Cricetulus griseus: one gene and its partner. The protein of the gene in region 1 interacts with the protein of each later gene in a biochemical or structural test. Links are inferred from orthologs where the notes say so. Each region holds a gene or a part of one and is shown on either strand. Other genes may lie near its edges.

The links.
Region 2: the proteins of Rnf114 (region 1) and Xaf1 form a complex in vitro, tested with the Homo sapiens proteins (2 studies listed by BioGRID). The link is inferred for Cricetulus griseus from reciprocal best matches to the Homo sapiens genes RNF114 and XAF1.

Annotation. Positions count from the first base shown.
Region 1 is NC_048599.1:11,896,699-11,899,828, reverse strand, and holds the end of Rnf114 (E3 ubiquitin-protein ligase RNF114), read left to right. Parts: intron 1-241; coding exon 242-349; intron 350-1,038; coding exon 1,039-1,104; 3' UTR 1,105-2,552; downstream 2,553-3,130. UniProt on the Homo sapiens protein: E3 ubiquitin-protein ligase that promotes the ubiquitination of various substrates. In turn, participates in the regulation of many biological processes including cell cycle, apoptosis, osteoclastogenesis as well as innate or adaptive immunity.
Region 2 is NC_048600.1:86,144,964-86,148,616, forward strand, and holds part of Xaf1 (XIAP-associated factor 1), read left to right. Parts: intron 1-794; coding exon 795-990; intron 991-3,053; coding exon 3,054-3,139; intron 3,140-3,653. UniProt on the Homo sapiens protein: Seems to function as a negative regulator of members of the IAP (inhibitor of apoptosis protein) family. Inhibits anti-caspase activity of BIRC4. Induces cleavage and inactivation of BIRC4 independent of caspase activation.

The sequences.
Region 1 (3,130 bases):
GCCTTTACTTTGTTCTCTGAATTTTACTTTGTTGGGAATAAGTCATCCATCATTTTATGAGCCTGTCATTTGAATTAAATAGCATTTTCTGGTTTGCTTCATGTTTATGGAGACAAGTGACCAGGCCTTGTACCTGGGCTTGTCAGTAAAGCTGTCCTAGCATAAAGGGGCTGAGCATAGGTCACAGAGGGCTTGGCTTAGCCGAGGCATCAGGTCACAGCACCTTGCTTCCTCCTAACAGGTTTGTCCCATATGTGCCTCGATGCCCTGGGGTGACCCCAGCTACCGCAGCGCCAACTTCATGGAGCATATCCAACGCCGCCACCGCTTTTCCTATGACACTTTTGTGGTGAGTCTGGACCCGCCCCAGAGGGGTAGCACTGATGCTCAATTTTCTGGGGGTGAGGGCAGCCTGGGCTTGAAGAACTCTGGTCCCAGAGGGAAGCTGCACAGTGTCTGTTCATGGTGGGTGGGTCTCACTTGGGCTAGACTGTTAGGTGATTCCTGTCTCCATTGTAGAGTACTGGGATTACAAGTGCGCACCTCAACATGGGTGATGGAAATCTGAACTAGGGTTCTTGTGCTTGACCTCGCAGGCATTTTACCAATTGAGTCATCTCTGTAGCCCCAGGAATAACTTTAATTTTTTATATTTATTTTATGCATGTTTGCCTGAATGTATCTGTGTATACCACATTTGTGCACTGCCTGCAGAAGCCAGAAAGTGTCCTATCCTCTGGGACTGGAATTAATGGTGGTTGTGATCCATCATGGGTGATGGAAATTGAACCTGTGTCCTCTGGAAAAGCAATCAGTGCTCTTAACCACCAAGCTGTCTCTCCAGCCCCAAGCTATTAATTTTTATTTAATGATGATACAACAGAGACACTAAGCTGAAGTAATTTTCCCAGTTACACAGCATCTAAACAGTGACCTGGGGCCCTTAGCAGCCTTCTCCAGACAGTCTTGCTAGGCTCCTGCTGAAGGTGAATCTTCTGGGTGTGAACCGTCACTTAGGCTGGTGTCTTCTGCCCTCAGGACTATGATGTTGATGAAGATGACATGATAAACCAGGTGTTGCAACGATCCATCATCGACCAGTGAGCAGGGTCCTCACTGTCCACCTCATTCTAGAGCTTCCATTACGCATTAGGTGTGAGCCCTTGACTCCTGTACCTCACATGTAATGCAGATCTGTAAATGAGCCATGGCACCAGACAGGGTCACTTCTCCCAGGGCCTAGGGCAGAGCCCTGTTTCCTTTGGGCTCTTGTTGACATTGTCTTCCTGGCTGATAACCTTGTTTGTCCCATGGTCCGCTCTCGTCACACCTTAGCTACTGCCTCCTTTAAAAAGAAGAGTCCAGCTTCTGTTCCCACGTGTTCTTGTTTCATGTTCATCCTACTGTCCAGTGTTCGTCTCTTAGGTCCTCCTACTCAGCCAGCCCCTTCCCCGGGGCCATGAATAGCACAATTAAACAGGGACTCCTTTCCCTGGCCCTGAGGTACCTGGGTTCTGGGTTCTGCTGTATACCAGGCCAGGCTGCGCTCCCCTTTTCTTCCTGGATGATGACCTTGGGGTTTCAAAAACTGATCCTGTTTTGGTTTCTGCTGTTTCCCTACATCTCCTGCACATCCATAGAACTGATGGCTTCTGTCTTAAATGCCTGACAGTGCCTTTTTAGGATAAGGTATCACCATAGAAATAGAATGGAAGTGTCGGATAGCAAAGCTGGGGTACACTCGTCTGTAAGTGGGGAGAAAGTGGTGTGTGGGTTTTGGTTCTCTTTCACACTGAGTGTTCCCAGGTGGCTGGGTCATGTGCCCCTCTGTTGTGTATCTGCTGATACTCTTGCTCTGAAGAATGAAAGAGCCCTTGGGTGATGGAGGCACTGACTGTTGAACCTGCTGCTCGATAACCAACCTGAGCATTATTGCTGTCATACAGACCTCTGTGCCCAAGTGTATGTTTTAAAACCCTGCCTTTTGGTGCAAAGCCAGGGTCATACCCACTTGTCTCTTCAAAGCCCCTGTTGGGAAGTTAAAGTTAGGCCCCTGCCAAAGTTAAGAAAGGTGTTCTGCTGGAGGCTTTCTCGAGCAGCAGCTCTAAAAACTGCTAGTCCAGTACATTTTACAAAGTACAGTTGGGCACCACCAGGCAGCCAGCCAATCTGCAGAACAGACGCCCTGACAGACCTAGGGCTTTGGGAGTAAGTTGTCCTTCCTGTCGTGTGGCTCTGGTCCAGCTGAGACTGCATGCGATATTGTGCTTTTGACGCCGTACTTCTACTGTGGCTTCTGCCTGCTAGGGAAAAGCTAGCTCAGATGCAGCAGAGTCGGGCAGGGTCCCTTTCCACTTCACAGAACCCTCTGGAAAGGTTTGCTCAGGAGATATCGGGAGGGACTGAGAAGGACACAGCTGTACAACAGGAACCTCTTATCCTGCATCACATCCACTATTTCTAATGTAACAGCTTTCCAGAAAGTTTGGTGGTTATGTTCTGGCTTTTAAAAGGTGAACTTAAATAAATTTCATAATTTATCCAACCAGCAATCTGTGGTGTGTTTTCATTAAATAGCTTTTTCTCGGGTCTGGGCCTGTCAGCCTCCGGAAGGTTGTTACTCAAGGGAACATTCTTGTCTGTCCCCAAGTCAGCCTGGCTTCTAGTCAGTCTGAGGCTTCAGCAGCTGGGCCTGTCTTTTCTGAAAAAGAGTAGAAATATCCCCCCTCTCTGAGTGGGGAGTTCACAGCAGGCCAGGCTCTAGACCTGCCACTGCAGTGACTTAGGTGTGACAGTTAAGGGGTTCCAAGGGCTCAGACTTGGGTCCTTGTGTATGTGTGTGCACTGTGCCAGTGCCTGACCCCTTGTGAACTGGGGTCATAGTATGTAATGAGCCATCTAAAGGAGTGTGCAGAAGGTGCATTGGATGCTGCCTGGAATCCTCTGTGGGCTTTGTTCCCATCCTAGTCCCATAGGGACCTGAAAATGACCCAGAGGTCAGCACATCCATCTCTACCCTGTCCTACCTACTTTGAGAAGAAACACTACCCCAGGTGGCTGAAAATGGCTCATTGCAACATTAAGTGCCACACTGCATTCCAGTTGAATCTTGAACTCCAGAGTTTTCATT
Region 2 (3,653 bases), on another chromosome or scaffold:
AGTAGACATAAAACCAGTCAGCACAGTTTGGGTAGTCTGCACAATGCCATCAGCATGTGCAAGCCCTCCCTTGCTGAAGTTGGATTTCTCCTCTAGAGGCAAGCAAGCTAACCTGAGAGAAAGAGGCAGAGAGGGGAGGAGAGGCCAGTCATAAAGATTCCCCCCTGACCACTACCCCTCCACGTGAGTGGCTAGGAGAACTGTGGAGAACCATCCCACTCAGACATGCAGATTCCTCTGCCCCACATACGTGCTTGATATGGAGATCTCCATGATCCATGAGTGTGCTGGTTCATTTTTGTCCACTTGACGTAGGCTCTGGTCACCTGAGAAGACAATCTCAATTGAAGAATTCCATCATACTGATCTGAGGGTGTCTCTACAAGCGTTTTCCTGATTAATGATTGATGTGGGAGATCCAGGCCACTGTGGGCAGTACCACTCCTTGGCAGGTGGTCCTGGGTTGTAAAGAAAGCAAGCCACTAAGCAGCACTCCTTCATGGTCTCTGCTTTAATTCCTGCCTCCAGGTTCCTGCCATGATCGAGTTCCTGTCCTGACTCCCCTCAATGAGAGCCTATGATGTGGAAATGTAAAATGAAATGAACCCTTTGCTCCCCAGGTTGCTTTTTGGTCGTGATGTTTATTTATCACAACAGAAAGCAAACTAGAACAGTGAATCTAAAAGAACTCATGATCCCCAAGGACAATGTCTGCTTCTGACCCTTGCCAGCACTCTCTCTGATTGGCTTCAGTTTCCTAGGGAGTTAGGCCCATGTCCTCCATCTTTCCACAGACCAAGGAAATCCAACAGCACCCTGCCAGGTGCAAGTTCTGTGATCTGGCTGTGCACTTCGGCAAACTGGATGCCCATGAGCCCCACTGTGGCCTCCGGACAGAGCGCTGTCCACACTGCAACCAGCCCATCACACTCCGAATGTTGGCCCAGCATAAAATTGTGTGTCTGAGGGCAAAGGCCAAGCATGAGGAAGGTGAGCATCAGGGAGAAGCTGGAAAGGGGGAGGACAGTTTCCAGAGCCAGTCTCCTGGGCAGGAAGGATGCAAGGACAGGAACCCTTAACAGCACAGGATAGAAGAGTGTCATTCTGTACATTTCCATACTGGAGTATGGCACTGGAGTAGCCTTCTTGTGTGTCTGCTTTGCCTTTCAGTGACTTACCCAGGAAAAACAAGAGGCCAGGGATGGGGTGTAAGAGCCACAGAGAAGAGGGAGAGAAAGCCATGGGAATCATAAATATGAAGGGCTTTTATTTACAAGCCAAAGACATAATCTTGGCCTGGTAAGGCTACACCTGAATCATCCTCTAGATGAAAAGCACGCCTCACAAACCTCAGAGAACAATAAGATGGAGGGACACTCCAGCTTCTAGCGCTAAGCCTCGATCCTTCTTTTCCACTGGAGTGTATGGCCTGTTTTTCCCATTCTGTGATAAATAAACAATGGTGAGAAGCAGAAGCATTGTAAGGGAGAAAGGGTTTGCTGTGCCTTACAGTTTGAAAGATAACAGTCTTGTTGTGCTGGGGAAGGCATGACCTCGGGAGCACGAGGCACTGCACTGGTCAGTCTGAACCCAGAGTGGGAAACAGAAAGCACAAGATGTGGAGCTAGGCTAAGAAACCTCAAAGCCTGAACCCAGCACCCACTTCTTCCAGTGAGCCTCTACCTCATAAAGGTGCCAAAACAGCATTAGTAGCTAAGAACCAAGTGTTCAAACACATGAGCTCACTAAGAGGGTAGGGTGTTCACATCCAAACCATAGGGATTAGCAATGGCCCGACGGGAGGCTGCTATAGCTCCAGGCTGTAGCGTCTTTTATCAGCTTCTAGTATCACTTCATATTCTACCCCCACCTCTCTCTGCAGTTCCAGTGCTGGGGATTTGAACCTAGAGCCTCATACATGCTAGACAAGTGCTCTACCACTGGCCTCTTTATAGGAGCCTTTGCCAAGAACATAGTTAGTTGCCCATGTTTCACATCTTTTGTTGACTTGGTTGTTTGGACAATGTGATAACATGTGGAGAAACTGTGGAACCCCTTAGTAAGTCCCACAGGTCAACGCTCTACCCAAGATCAAAAGTGGCCAATGGAAAGCCAGGAAGTATGTGTACTTTTCCTTCATCCCATTGTGCCTGGTCTCCCACCCAACTAACAGTCTCCAACCCAAGTTCAGTGACATGCTCAATACAACACAACTTTAGCACAGTGATGTTACAACCAACGCCTGGTTGGATCACAGAGCTCACAAAACCTGAGCTCAATTGGCAGTCTGGGTGTGAAAGGAAATGTATCGGTTCAGGACCCAGAGACCTTGTTCTCAGCACAAAGGAGATTTGTTTGCCTCGGAAGGACAGAGGTCAGGGAATAAGAGGAAATGACAGGAGATAGAGGACAAGGGAGAAGGGGAAGGGAACAGGGGAAAGAGAGCAAGGGTATTTGTCCCAGAGGGACAAAGGACTGCCTCTGGGTAGAGAGGAAACAGGCCCCTAGGAAAATGGTGTTTTATAAAGGTAAAAGGGGAAAGCCTCTGGTAGCATGAGGTGTTTAATTTTAATTGGGCCTGTTAATTGGGTGAGTCAAAGGGATTTTTGATGGCTGAACTTCAATACTTTGTTAGCTAGACTTTGATGGTACGGCCTCGGGAGGAGGAAGTGGCCAAGTGAGGGAACAGCCCTTGGTGGCTAGCTTTAAGAGTGTAATCTAATGGTTTTTAGTAAGGCAAGGGGATGGGAGGGGCAAGGCCTGCCAGAGCCACTTGCTGGAATGGGCTAGTGTCCCTTTGGGGCAGTTATGTACATAGCCCCTTTCAATTGCTTAAAAACCAGTTCTGCTCCAGGAAAGGGACTCTTCATCAGTGTCACTGTGAGAAAAATGGCTGGCCAGCCAGTCCTCTCCAGAGTGGCTACTGGCAGTGTGGGGACAAGACCAAGCTAGTCTAGGAATGGTATTCTCGTGAGTACAGGCCATGAGAGCATGGGAGGAGGAGGGTAGCCACCGTCAAAACAGTCATTTGTGGCGTATCTGCATCTACTCAGGGAAGAGAAATGTATCTCCTGAAAGGAAAACCCGTTGTGATTACTGCAAACAAATGATTCCAGAAAATAAATATGTCTCCCACATGGTGAGTAGCACTCTCCCATTTTCTAATTGTGCCAGTGGCCAGTTCATACTACCAAAAGCAAGGTGTGAAAGAGCAGATTCTAGGTCAAGTTTGCACAGCACAGTTATCAAAGGTTCGAATGTTTGTTGTTTTACTTTGTTTAGTTTTGCTATGTTTCGAGGTTTTCTTTCTTCTTTATTGACTCTTTGAGAGTTTCACATCATGTGCCCCAATTCTGTTCACCTCCCAGTCCCTTCATACTTCATATTCCCCCCTCATCTCTGTTGCAGCCCCCTCAACAAAAGAAGGCAAAACAAAGTCAGAAAGCAAGCAAACAAAAGCAAGAACAAAACCACACACACAAAAAAAAAAATACCCAACACACACACACACACACACACACACACACACACACACACACACACGAAAACTTACCTAAACCAAAACAGAACAAAAAAAAAAAAGAAAAAAGAAAAAGAAAAAAACCCACACCCGAAACAGAAAACCTCTGCTTCTCATTCTTTCCCAATGTTTT